Linked DNA regions of Drosophila melanogaster. The protein of the gene in region 1 interacts with the protein of each later gene in a biochemical or structural test. Each region holds a gene or a part of one and is shown in the gene's direction. Other genes may lie near its edges.

Region 1 (5,493 bases):
TTCCACCGGCACTGGGTGCACCACTGGTCGCGTTTCTCCATGCCGTACACCTTGCGGCACTTTTTGTTCTCGCCACGCGTCCTCTTGCCGGGCGAATGGGGCGTATGCTTGACGGCTACCTGTTGCGCCATGTGCTGTTGCTGCTGCAGCGGATTGCTTCCGTTGCTGTGGTTGTTACTGTTGTTTTGGGCAACCATGTTGCCGGCAGTTGTCTGTGGATGCTGCTGCTGGTGGCCGCGCATCGGTTGGTGGTGGTGCTGCTGCTGCGCCGGATGGAAATTGGGCGTGATCGTCACACTGGACAGGAGATGTTGCTGCTGCTGTTGGTGGCTGTGTTGCTGCTGCTGCTGGTGGTGTTGCTGCTGCTGCAGTTGCTGCTGCTGCTGGCTGTGGTGCGCCGTCACTGTGACGTTCTGCTGCGACAGCTGCTGCAGCATGTTGTTGGCACTGCTATTGCTGTGGATCACTGGACTGCTGCTGCTGCTGCTGTTGCTGCTGCCGCTGCTGCCGGCGTAATTGTGGTGGTGCGTGTGTTGGTGGTGCTGCTGTTGCTGGACGTACGTCGGCGATGGATATGGCGCTACCGAGTGGGTCGGACGGGAGGACGACGAGCGAGCGTGCTTGCCGATCGGCGAGGCTGATGAACTGGCCGCCACCGACCCCGTCCCCGTGGAGGAGTAGCTGCCCACTGTCGCCGTCGCCGCCGGGCATGTGTAGTTGTGGTGGGCTAGGTGCGAAGTGGGGATGCAGCTGGTGTTGTTGTTCTGCAGCTGCTGCTGGTGGGTGCTCGGGATGTTGCTGCCACTGATGGTGCGTCCGTGCGACTGCGCTAGATGGTTATAGTGGCTACCGCCGCGTCCTTGCCTGGAAAATCGAAAAAGGATAATGTCATTAAATGTATCTATATCGTGCACCAAGAGAACCCACTTGAAGTTGCCAACAATCTGCTTCTGGTACTCGGGATCCTCGTGCGGCGGACGCGCCATGTCCCGGTGACTCAGAGTCGGCTCGGAGGCCAGAGTGGGCTTCACCTGCTCGACGTCGTCGTCGGCATCCTCGAGGTAGAAGTCCTCCTCATTTCCGTCATCATCCGCGGAGCGATGGGAGTCCTTTCTGCAATGCCACCGAAAAATAGCGAAATTGATTAGAAGGATGTGTCAGTGATGGCAAGTTTGCTTCAGTTATGTACCTAGGTTCGGTATTACTTCAAATCAGATTGATAGCTTTTAAATTAACGAACTTAAGTTGTCTAACGTTGTTTATTCGATTTAATTCAATTCAAACAAATAGGAAAAATATTTTAAAATGAATGCTAAAAATTGCTGTTAAACTTTGGTCAATATTTATTAAGGTACCTCATTTAGGTACCTACTCTCCATTTCAAGCGACCGCTTTTTTGTACTAGCGTTGCCAACTAGCCGACCACCCACATTAGGTTCGAGGCCCTGCTAGAAGTGTTCCAGAGTTCTGAACCTTGATTCTATCCACTTAAAAAACTATATTATTTCTTTTTACATTTCTTTTCCCCGCACTATTTTTTTTCAATTATATTTCAAAATGAAATTGAGATTGATGCAAGCTTCCTTGCATACAATTCTTTTGTAAATCTCACTAGACTGAAAAATCGCTTAGTCTTAAGGTAGTGCGCGGTAATAATCCTATCGAAAAGCATCGGACTTGGTCCCACCTCTAGCCTCAACTATTTGTTCCAGCTCTAGCACTTTTTGCAAAAAAGAACGCATGTTCCGTGTGAAATCAATACGAAATCAACAAGAGCGATCGATTTTGAGTAATCGTCCGAGTTGAAAAGCAGCGCACTATATAGTTCCCAGCGCCAATTAATCCAGCTGCCCGAGTCACCAGCCATTTTGTGTGTGGTGGAAAATTTTGCAGATAGAAAAAATTGCGCGTCTGTCTGTCTGCATCTGCGTATCTGTGTGTGTGCGTGTGCTAGAGTGTTTGTGTGTGTGCGTGCGTGCGTGTGTATAGCGAGGTCTACATTGTCAATTAACAAGGGAAAAAAGACGCTTGTGGTCCTGCTTTGTTCCTTTGCCTCTTTACCCTCCAAAAAGCCAGCCAACATGTCCAGCCTGCGACCCGAGGAGGCCCGAAAACTGGCCACCGCCGCCTCCGTTTCGCCGCTGAGCAATTGCCAATTTTGCGGCGTGGTAATCAGCTCGATTGCCGACGAGCAGAAGCTAGAGTTTACCAACAAATACAAGGGAAGCTGCACGCTGCTCTGCAGCTACGATTCCCAGGGTGTCGTCCTCCGTGTTGTGTCAGGTAAAAGAGGACATCGAATGTTTCATAAAACCCGTTCCTTATATCGCCAATCTCTCCACCAGACGACGACCGGAGCCACGTGCTCAAGGAGTACATGATAGCCGCCGATACGGATGCCGCCCAAATGGGACGAAGGAGTTATGCCGTTTCCCTGGACGCCGACAATCTAGTGCTGAGGTTTGCCAGCGAGCAGGACCAGCAGCTCTTCCGCAAAGTGGTGGAGAACGTGAAGCACTTGAGACCCAAGTCCGTGTTCTCGCAGCGCACTGAGGAGTCGTCCGCCTCGCAGTACTTCCAGTTCTACGGCTACCTCAGTCAGCAGCAGAACATGATGCAGGACTATGTAAGGACAAGCACGTATCAGCGGGCCATTCTAGGCAATGCTGTGGATTTTCAGGACAAGATCGTCCTGGATGTGGGCGCCGGCTCGGGCATTCTCTCCTTCTTTGCCGTGCAGGCGGGAGCTGCCAAAGTGTACGCCATTGAGGCTTCCAACATGGCCCAGTACGCCCAGCAGCTGGTTGAGTCCAACAATGTGCAGCATAAGATCTCTGTGATACCGGGGAAGATCGAGGAGATCGAGCTGCCCGAGAAAGTGGACGTTATCATATCAGAGCCTATGGGCTATATGCTGTACAACGAGCGCATGTTGGAGACCTATCTGCATGCCAGAAAGTGGCTCAAGCCGCAAGGAAAGATGTACCCCACGCACGGCGACTTGCACATAGCACCCTTTTCGGACGAATCGCTCTACTCGGAACAATATAACAAGGCCAACTTCTGGTACCAGTCGGCGTTCCACGGCGTTGACCTTACCACGCTGCACAAAGAGGGCATGAAGGAGTACTTCCGACAGCCCATTGTGGACACCTTCGACATCCGCATATGCATGGCCAAGTCGGTGCGGCACGTGTGCGACTTTCTCAACGATAAGGAGGACGATCTGCATTTGATAAGTAAGTACCCGAAAAAGTGATTTGCGACAATGGCCAACTGTTGACTTTCCGCAGGCATCCCCCTGGAGTTTCACATTCTGCAAACTGGCATCTGCCATGGGCTGGCCTTTTGGTTTGATGTGGAGTTTAGCGGCAGCAGCCAGAATGTGTGGCTCTCAACGTCGCCCACAGCGCCTCTGACACATTGGTATCAGGTTCGCTGCCTTCTGCCCATGCCCATCTTTATTAAGCAGGGCCAGACGCTGACCGGCCGTGTCTTACTGGAGGCCAATCGGCGGCAGTCGTATGACGTGACCATCGACCTACACATCGAAGGCACGCTGATTTCGTCGAGCAACACCCTGGACCTTAAGAATCCGTATTTTCGGTACACGGGGGCCCCGGTCCAGGCACCGCCGGGGACTAGTACCCAAAGTCCATCTGAGCAGTACTGGACACAAGTGGACACGCAAGGATCACGCAATTGTAAGAACAAATCCTTGATATAATAATCTCATTGCTTATGTGATTATAATTTCTATAGCTTCAAGCATGCTAAATGGAGGGATCAGCGTGAACGGAATAGGCGAAGGCATGGACATCACTCATGGACTTATGCATCCGCACTAGGGGGGCGGTGGATCGAATAACAATACATCTTTCTGGGAATTCCCTTTGCTCTAAGTCCGCTCACTTTCTACGCTTGATCCTAATTTTGCCAATTTTTGTTTTGTTACAGTTTATGATTAGGTTATTTATTGAAAAGTGTAAAATATTTTTATCTATTTTCGAAAGTTAGTTCTGTTCTGTTTTGCATACCTTTTAACAACCTCTTTCCCTATCGTGCTATACTTATCCTCCCTTCTCTTACCCATTTAATCGATCGGACAAATCGAAGGAAATCCAGCATCCCAGCAAGTAACCAACATACAAACAATCAACAAATCAAGGCAGACTAATGTAGTTGTTTAGAACACGCAGCATATTAATAAGCCTAAGCTAATTTAAGCCCATAGTAATTAGAGTTTTTAACGTATGTGAATTGTAATACCGATATTTAGCCCGCACGGGACTGCGCTTCAGGAAGTTTATTAGTTAATATGCCGATTGCCAATTGCAGATTTTGCCGTAAGCTTTGAACAAACCAACAAATTCAGATTGTACTGTATCTATTATGTGTGTTATTATACTATATATTGTGTGTACCTCCAGCTAGTTTCAATTTTTGTACTTGTCGACCGTGTTTATGTTTAGTTCGTTTCAAAATGTAAGAAATTGCTCATAGGATTTAGTGCTAAGCTACGATATCATTACTAAAGGCCGACCTGGGTCGAGAGATTATACTTATACCCCCAATACGATTATGATTAATTCAGTTCAGTGGAGGCACACCTCGTTCGATCCTAAGTTACGCATCCAAGCCCAGATCCTGTCATAGACCCAACTATATCGCTGCCAGCAAGCCGAGCGCTATATAAGCATATACACCTAGATATACGCGTTAGGTACGCCAACCTATACACACCCCGACATTCTCGCATTCGTATCCTGTTTGCGGACTGTACTTTATAGAGCAGCAAGTAGAAACACAAAAACACTACAACACCCAATACACTGCAAACATAAATATAAAGCAAAACATATACAATTATATATATATATATATATATACGAATAGATATACCGCATGTATGCAGATGAGAGAACAATGTCAAAGCAAAAGCAGCAAAAAACAAAGCCCCACCGCGTCTTTTATTTGTGCACCCCCACTTGGAACCCCTCTCGATTTACATAGGAAACGAGATTGGCAAGTGTCAAAGCTCAGCGCGGATCGTGTGTGGGCGCTTTGAATTGGACCTTGGCCTCAAAAGCGCCACCACCACTGCACCTGCCACCCACTGCTGCTATTGCTGGCCTGCTGCTGCAGGTGCGCATTGCAAAGTAATCTGCGTGCTGGAGAGGGGCTACGCCGCACTCGTGTGACCTGCTTACTGTGCTCGAGTGCTCTACTTTCGAGGCACCACCAACACCACCTTCAGCACCCGCTCCGGGCGTGTGGAAGTGCTGGCGGGGAAGGAACGAGAAGGTCGGGTGGCTAAGTCAAGGCCCCGCCCACTTGCTGCTCGCCACCTAATCCTCTGATAGCAGTGCCATTCCCACTTGTACACTTACCCCAAATGTGTTTTCCTAATGTGACGCACGACTCCATTGAGATCGTCTACCACGCCAACACATCCTCGATAGACGCATCGGAACTTTTTGGACTGCAATGACA
Region 2 (3,693 bases), on another chromosome or scaffold:
AATCGAGTTGTTTATTGTACTTTGTTTATAATATAATATCTGCAAAAGTGTTTAAAATATTATTTATGCCACATTAGGTTCGTATTTGTTTCGTACATGATCTCCATATAAATTAAATTTTCCATTTGCATCTGGCATGACTGCGAAGCGTGCAAGGGGAAACGAGGGTGTTGCAGAAATTTAATATATCTTTTCGGAATTCAATAGAAGTTGTGCAAAACAGCACATGGAGTTCCTACGATCCTGCGGCCTATTTTTCAGAATATTATGTGTATTATATGTTGACATCGCTCATCATTTACTTTACTATTAGCCACACAATAAGACTTAACTTTACTCGGATTTTTAGGATACAGTCGACTTAAGAGCTATTTAATGCATAACTTTAAATTCTTAATTAAACAAAGAAATCTATGACCTCTTCTGTGATACTATTGCGAATCAGATAAGCCTCCGCGCAAAAGAGAAAACATTTGTTTCGATTTTGTCAATTAACGTTATCTCTTACTGGAGTAATGATTTTTTTTTTTAATATTTTTGGATTCTAAAATTTGTGAGTGCAGTTCGGAAAACGGAGATTAATACATTTGTTACATTTTCAATGTACGATGTCGGTATTGCATAGTTTATAGTGTACTTTCGATTTTCGGTTTATTTCTCATTAAATAATTACAACTTAGGCGCTCCCCTCGATTATGTATCTTTTGTATAATATGAACGAAATACGCGTTGTCAAACGGGCCGTGGATCGCTCGCTTGTTTACTCTGACGTCGATTGATGATGTGTGCCGACAAAACACAAATGTCCCACATCTATGCACTTATCCATCATCCGCTTATGCCGGCAGCTGGAGCTTCTTGCCCTTAAGAACTTTGGTAATGTATAAGTAGAAGAAGTCGCAGTACAAGACGGTCTGGACAACTCCGGCGAAGATCGCGATAAGGTCGTAGTGCGACTCGACCATGTACCGGTAGACCCAGTTGAGCAAGTAGAGTGCACGGTACGATCCCAGGGCGAAGAGGTAGTGGCTGGTGATGGACTCGGCCTCGCCGGTTCTGCTCACTAGGAACAGCTGCGGCAGAATGGCCACCGATTCCAAATAGATCGAGAATGTCCACAGCACTTCCATCACGGTAAACTCATGATTGATCACCAGCGAGAGCAGGGCGCACGGCACCAGCAGGAATTCGATGCGGAACGAATCGTGATTGTGGTCATAGGTGGCCTTAAACTTCACGTACATCAAATACACGGTGGCACCGGACGTGGCCAGGAACAACACCTTCATCACCGAGTTGTACAGGCTCACGTAGGTGGTGAACAGATCCAGGTAGCGCGTCAGATAGACCACGGCGAACAGGATCTGCGACTTGCCCGATATTCCGGCGCACGAGCGGGTCTTCCATATCTTCAGCAGCAGTATTATGATGGCAAACACATGCGACAGATCCCCAGCAAAGCGAAAGATATTCATCGTGATCTAATCCGCCGACTTGGCTACTTGGCTGCCCGGTTGGCTGTTTGATTGTTCTACTTCCTTTCGCTGCGGCTGCGTCACGGAACGCACGCCTATATGAAAATGGGAGTGTATACTATAGCAATAATGGCGGCATTCAGTGTTTCAACAGCTGCATACGTTACCAAAATGACTTTTCGCCTAATTTGCCAACGAGTAGAGATGTGAGGGCTTTGCCGCTTCGGAAAAAAACTTGTCAGAATGTCGGCATAAACAATGACGTGGCTGATGAATAAGAATAAGTTTGATAACATGGCCACTGCCTATCGATATCGATAAGTGCCGCCACATGATTTTTTTAATGAAAATTCGACCATCTCTAACGAAAAAAATTGAGAAAAAACATACTGATTCAAATTTTTTCTTTTTTCGTTTTTTATCATAAGATTTAAAAAAAATTTAATTTTTTTCTCTTCTTTTGCTAGGGATAGTCGAATGTTTGTTTAAAAAATCATGTGGATTATCAATAAAAAATTTATATTCGATAGGCTCGATTGAAAGACACCAGAAAATGCTGACCGCCGCACACGCCACTCGATTTATTCTTCATGCCTATCGAAAAAAGCCGTGGTGAGGTTCCGGCATCTGTATTTTATTTACAAGCGATAGAATTAACATAGAAATCAAATAAAATGGTAAGTAAAAACACTGTTTTAAGCATCTGACTGCAATGGTTAAGTTTTGTTTAGTTGTATTAATTCATAGATTCTTACTTTCGCGGTTGCGATTTCGTATTTACATAGGCATACATACATACAAACATGCATGCGAATAAATAAAACAATTTGTTTTGGCTAATTAACTATTTTATATTTGTTTAAAATTATGATTTTTAGTGATCTTCGATATTACGCTGAGATTTGCTATTTCAAACTCTGTGGTTTATTAAAATTTTTATAAATACCGGCTTTTTTAAAGGGTCGAAATGGTTTACAAAAGATGGCGCGACTTTTATGCATGCTATTGTATTTCACAATTAAATCCTTTGAATTCCTTTATTTCAGACGATCGGCAAGAACAACAAAATGATTCAGCACCTGAATTATCGGGTGCGAATCGTGCTGCAGGACTCGCGTACCTTCATCGGTACCTTCAAAGCCTTCGACAAACACATGAACTTGATCCTCGGCGACTGCGAGGAGTTCCGGAAGATTCGCTCGAAGAATTCCAAGGTGCCCGAGCGCGAGGAGAAGCGCGTGCTGGGCTTTGTATTGCTGCGCGGCGAGAACATAGTTTCACTGACGGTGGAGGGACCACCGCCGCCAGAGGAGGGCCTGCCCCGAGTTCCCATTCCGGGAGCAGCTCCTGGTCCGGGAATCGGTCGCGTGGCCGGACGCGGAATGCCTATCAACTTGTCCGCCGTGCCAGCGGGTCTCCAGGGTCCCGTGAGAGGTGTGGGCGGACCCGCCCAACAGCACATGGCTCCGATGGGACGAGGAGTGCCACGAGCACCGATGATGGGTGCACCGCCACCGGGCATGATTCCCGGCGGCATGCCCTCGATGCCAGGAAACATGGGACGCGGTGCTCCGCCACCGATGCGCGGACCGCCGCCCAGCATGATCCGTGGAGCACCACCACCGGGCAGGGGTGGCTATTAAGTATAAAGTACAATCTAATAAAAACTCATTTAGAAAACACCACTTAATCGATGGATTCGTGTATTTATGTGTTGAATGTAAGCATACGTACATACAATGATTATTGCTTTACATCAATTATATGAGAACCTAAGCAGCAGGGACTGGATTTGGTCGTTGCCAGCCACATCGTTCGTTAATTGGGTGTTCCAGTTAAGACCGAAACGCCTCGTGAATGATTATACCTTTGGTACGTGCGTGTGCGTACAGGATGTTTTATGCCCAGATGTTGGAGAGATCCCAGATCTTGATGAGCCTGTCCTGGCCCACTGTCAACAGGCGCTTTCTGTCCTCGTCCAGGTCCATGTAGACGATCGAATGCTTGGCGTCATTGAATGAAGCCAGCGAGGGGCGCTCGACTGTCTGAAGTTGTTTGTAGCACGGATCACAGGTACGCACATCAAACTCGAAGCCCATTATGGGTATGTTAATGCGATTGGTGGAACAGTTGTCGCACACGGCTTTGCCGCAGTGGCGACAATGATGCTGTCGTATTCCTGACAGTCAGAAATTACTTGTAAAACAAAGAGTAACTC
Region 3 (4,976 bases), 3.7 Mb from region 1:
GTGCTCCAGCTTTTATGCCTGCGATCCTGGCTGACTGAACTTTGCACGTGTGTGTGTGTGCGCGAGTAAATGACCTCATACAATTTGGCAAAGAAAAAAAAGAAGCCGCCAAGCGAGGAGCATGAATTAAATTGAGGTTATGTTCGGGTCTCAAGGTTGTGGCGCCGCATACAATGAACTCCAGCTTGGCCAAAATATCAAATTGCTGCCTTGCAAAAACACTTGAAATAGCGTTAAAAGGTGTAAGTAAATATCAATGTTTGCAGGTGTCCTTTGCCCCATTTTAGCCATAAACATTTGCCGATAAAACAAAAAATGCACAATGAGTTGCGGCAAACCCACACGCACACATATTCGGTTATGAACGCGCCGCTCTTTCGGGTTCTCTCTTTCCCACTCTATTTCTGCTTGCGAACCGCGTGTGTAGGAAGAACAAAGAAAGCTATAGTTGAAGAGCAGCATTTAAACAAAAATGTACAAAAACAAAATTTTTCGTACATTTTTAGGTTATGCACAAGCGATAATAAAAAAAGCCGCTAAAATGGTAAAAAAAAAAATTTAAGAGATAGAGCCCTGCCGCAATAATAAAATATACGCCCATTTAGCATTTTTTATGTTGATTTTTTCCTAGTATGCGCCACCCCTTTGAAAATGGAAAATGCTAGTTTTTCTAGACCGCGCACACGAGGCCGTCGCCGGCTCACCTTTTTTAAGCGATATTTTTCCTCGTTTTTATTTTTCCTTTTTGTAATGCACAGTGTGTATTGCTTTTGGGTTGAAGTTTGCCGAAAAATCGGCACTTTTTGTAGCACTTTTCTTTGTTATCTTCCTGCGGGGGGCGGGGAGAGTTGGATTTCTTAGTGGAGCGCTGAAATTATGCGGTTTTTTTAATTTACAAAACGATAGTCGAAACGTATGAAATGCAGTATAAAATTGCAAGCTGCACACAAAACACACAGCCACACACACCAATGCACTCACTCGCTCACACACACACACTAGTCTAGTTTGTTGCAATTCTTTTTGTCTTTTTTTTTGAGAATAACTAACTTGGCAATTCTTGACGTGTATTTTTTGTTGCTTTCTGATGTTTGGCGATCACAGTTGTTGTTGAATTAAGTTACGATGCATATGTTGTGGCTTTTGAGTAGAAAATAATCGCAAACGCAATGAAATTGGACAAGTGTGTTGAATCGAGAAGAGAACCGACGTTCGTTCCTCTTTTCCTCTTTTTTGCCTCTGCACAGTTTTATTCTTGGTTTCGCGTGTGTTGGTGTGTGAATGATGGCGGCTTTTCCAAGGGTGTGCACACACTTCTTTTTTTGGGGTGGTTAATCTAGTATGTTCCATAGAATATTTTGATGAATTTGATATTTTCATATTTGAGCTCAATTAAGCTCATTTTAGGGGCGCTAAGTTTCTTTTAAATAGTTTTATAAAACTTATTTTCATTTTAGCCATTTCCGATTTTTTGAGTAAGCTCATGAAACACCTTTCTTTAAAGGAAACATTTTATATAGCAAATAAATAAAAACCATAATAACGTTATATTATAACCTGTTGGGAAATCCGAATATGAAAATTGTATAAATTTTTGCAAAAAATAAAAATATTTAATATAAACCAATTAAATGATTTAAAATATTGTTGATGTTTCAGCCTATAAGAAGTTAATATGAAAATTCGATTTTAAACAATTCTTTGTATGTAAATGTTGTTTTCGTTCCCAACACATAGTAAATAATGAACATTGTATTTTTTATATTTATAAAATTATAAATGTTTATGAAATACTTAATATTTATTTAAATATTTAAACCTTTAATACAACTAAAATGAATTTATAAACCAAGTAACTTGTCCATTGTGTAAACTGGGCTTTAAAATATTTGTATAAAATTTTTGGTATTCTTTTCATTTTCTCTTCATAGGTGTGTGTACATTGTATAAATCAAAGCTGCCATACTGCAAGCAGACAAGTCACGCGCCCATTTAGCTCCTTATATAGGCTTATTTGGGGTGGTATCGTACAGAAAATCCCAATTTAATCCTTGGCAAATGTATAGCTAACAATCTCCAGGTAGAGCAAGCAAATACAATACAAATATTTACCAAAATAATACCAAATCGACTTGACTGGGAAAACATCAAGGTGGCAACGCCGCACCCATATACACACGCTGTCGTTTGCATTTATCATTTTCCGGTCGTCATTTCATTCGTACGCGCGACTTTTTGGCGAGTGTGTATAAAAATCTCCGGCTCTGCGTAAAAAACGAATATCGTGCTGCCTAGCCCCCGAAATTAGTAGATCAGTCGAAAACACACAAAATGGCCGAGAACAAGCAAGTGGATACAGAAATAAACGGCGAGGATTTCACCAAGGACGTGACTGCCGACGGTCCGGGATCTGAAAATGGTGATGCGGGCGCCGCCGGCTCGACCAACGGCAGTTCGGACAACCAATCGGCCGCATCCGGCCAGCGGGACGACGACAGGTATGTCCATTATCCGGCGGATACGTTTTTTTTTTGTTCTTTTTTATTTTTGCAACGGGCAACCGATGATCATGTGCCCCCCATAGATTTTCTGCTTCTACATAGTGTATATTGCCTACTCTGTTACGTAAATGCAAAGCTAACGTCGTTGGTCGAGTTTCATTGGATTTTACGGGGTTCTGCGGGGGAAGTCTGACCCCTTTTGTGTTCTCTCTCGCTTGCGCTCGTGCGTCGGAGTGTGTTTAAGTGTGTGTGTGTGAGGTGTCGGTGCGACTGTACTTCAGTCATATTAATAGAATCTTCGGGCCAAAATGCATCATCACAGTCTCGGGAGACATGGAAAATTTTCAACGTTTTCCCCTGCACACACACGCACTTTCCGCAATGAAAACCAGAGTTTTCTTAAGCTAGGAGCACATTTTCTCCCCTTTGTGAGGTTATGTTTGTTTCCCACGTTGCCCCACAGACACACTGTGACGCATACGAACACAAATCATACGGTTGCCTTTCACTTGCAAAAAATGTGGCGAAAAAAAACGTTGGAAAAAGTTATGTTTGTATTTGTCAGTGTATTCTTTTTAATTCGCATTACTCTTTGTTTCGGCTATTTCGTTGTTATTTTGTGCTCTTCCAGTTTTGTACCCAAAATGGCGGCTGCATACAGGCATACATACCAACCTAACGCCCGCTGTTCTGTAGGTGTGTGCGTGTTTTGCAGTTTTCACTTATTCTCTTGCTTGCCGGCTTCGCTCGCTCGCCACCTCTTTTGCGCGCTCTTACTCTCAGAGAGCGACAGCCGGCGTTGTTTGGAGTTGCCAAGGCGCCAAAATATTAATTTAACGAACAATTAATGTAAATTATAAATGATAAATAATTTTGATGGATTAAAGCATAGAGATAATGATGATCAAGTAGAATGGTCCTCTTGTTTGCTCCCCTGCGTTTTGGTTTTTAGGTCTAGCGTACACTTCATTTGCCCATCCTTTATGATCATTTTATATCTAAGTTTAATCTTAAGTCACACGATACTGTACATTTAAACGATAATACGAAACCAGCGCTGACGAAGCAGATGCAGATTATTCCCCGTAAAGGAAGAAGGACGAAATGGAGAAATTAAATCGAAAATCATAGCTTATCCTGTTGTCTTGTGAGCGAACTAACCTTGTTCCTCTCCGGCAGGTTTTGAGAGAAGTGAAATGCCCCAGGTCAGGGTTTTAAGCTATGCTCAAGACGGATATGGATTCGGATATGGATTTGGATTCGTATTCCTGCCCCCGGCAAACGGTTACGGATTCGGATTCGGATTCGGCGGACTTATACTTGGAGGATATGCAACCCTCTCCACACTCCAGTCTCCAAAAGTCTCCGCTCCGCCGATACTGATGCTGATGGTATTTATCTATCCAAAACTAAAACAAACAAACAATCAGTCAGTCAGCCAATATATAGAACTATCAACACACAAAATTATCAAGAAATAATCTCGATTTAAAATTGGATCCATATGTAAACTGTATACGAGTATATATTGTATTGTATCTCTTAACGTATAACTTGTAAATTACCTAAAAAAAAAAGAAAAACAAAAAAGTACCAAGTAATCGGAGACAGAGAGAGACCGAGTGAAAAAGAGACTCGCAGTTTTTTCGTTTTGTTTTATGAAGCTCAAAAACTATACATTATATATCGCCCGAAGAAAGAAACACAATGAACGAATGTAACGTAACGAATTGCCACAAAAAAGAAGCACAAATCACTAAATTGCAATCGAAATTCCGCCGCCGTGTGATGAGACTGTTCCAAATTTGCCGGGAATCCGCCGAGAACGATGAGATATCTTTCCAAAAAGTCCAGAAATCAATGAGTAACGTACACATCATAGTAAACTATAAGTGTCTGCATATTTTTTCAACATTCCTTTTTATAAAAAAAAAAAAATATAAAATAAAATAAACAGCCAAATAAAGAAAGTAAAACTAACCACAATCCAGCATAAAAACCTTTGCATTCTTTTCTCTCATCCTATTGAATAAAGACTAATTGTTAATTGTTATTTGTACAGACAAAGACTCTTAAGCATACCCAAAACAAAAACTTAATAATTCACTCTTGCATATCTTATATATACTATATATCTATATCTTTCGCTCGTTTTGTGTCTCTCGATCGATCGCTCGCTCGCTCCTCGAACTCTTTCGCTCATTCCGAGTTTGCAAGTATTTTGACACTATCCGATCAATTCTTTGATTGCAATACAGTAACTAAAGCAATTTTTCACTTCAAATTTGGTGAGTTTTTTTTATTCGTTTTGTATTCTTGCCCAGTCATCAAATTCTTTTGCAGCCAATACGAAAATCAGTAAGAGAAGAAAAAATTTAAAGTAAATTAAGAAAGTATTTGCCTCGCGCATCAAACACAACCTATTTTTCGTGCCTGATTTTCCCAGATAAACCTTTTCCTACCAAAATATTTCCC

The links. Proteins that work in one complex are often made in the same cells at the same time.
Region 2: of the proteins of Art4 (region 1) and SmB, one has a biochemical effect on the other in vitro, tested with the Drosophila melanogaster proteins (one study listed by BioGRID).
Region 3: of the proteins of Art4 (region 1) and sqd, one has a biochemical effect on the other in vitro, tested with the Drosophila melanogaster proteins (one study listed by BioGRID).

What each region holds. Positions count from the first base shown.
Region 1 is NT_033777.3:9,982,268-9,987,760, reverse strand, and holds Art4 (arginine methyltransferase 4), read left to right. Parts: upstream 1-1,700; 5' UTR 1,701-2,081; coding exon 2,082-2,283; intron 2,284-2,345; coding exon 2,346-3,239; intron 3,240-3,293; coding exon 3,294-3,704; intron 3,705-3,762; coding exon 3,763-3,848; 3' UTR 3,849-4,945; downstream 4,946-5,493. Other genes in the region: Glut4EF (glucose transporter 4 enhancer factor), read right to left, coding at 1-864, 928-1,113, 5,391-5,482. UniProt on the Drosophila melanogaster protein: Methylates (mono- and asymmetric dimethylation) the guanidino nitrogens of arginyl residues in proteins. May methylate histone H3 at 'Arg-17' and activate transcription via chromatin remodeling. Coordinates ecdysone-mediated expression of cell death genes.
Region 2 is NT_033779.5:10,424,953-10,428,645, reverse strand, and holds SmB (small ribonucleoprotein particle protein SmB), read left to right. Parts: upstream 1-2,018; 5' UTR 2,019-2,149; coding exon 2,150-2,152; intron 2,153-2,521; coding exon 2,522-3,118; 3' UTR 3,119-3,163; downstream 3,164-3,693. Other genes in the region: KdelR (KDEL receptor), read right to left, coding at 837-1,475; Wdfy2 (WD repeat and FYVE domain containing 2), read right to left, coding at 3,374-3,654. UniProt on the Drosophila melanogaster protein: Plays a role in pre-mRNA splicing as a core component of the spliceosomal U1, U2, U4 and U5 small nuclear ribonucleoproteins (snRNPs), the building blocks of the spliceosome. Involved in germline establishment and development.
Region 3 is NT_033777.3:13,643,275-13,648,250, reverse strand, and holds the start of sqd (squid), read left to right. Parts: upstream 1-1,946; 5' UTR 1,947-2,331; coding exon 2,332-2,498; intron 2,499-3,680; exon of another isoform or gene 3,681-3,892; intron 3,893-4,976. UniProt on the Drosophila melanogaster protein: Component of ribonucleosomes. Could be needed to organize a concentration gradient of a dorsalizing morphogen (Dm) originating in the germinal vesicle. At least one of the isoforms is essential in somatic tissues.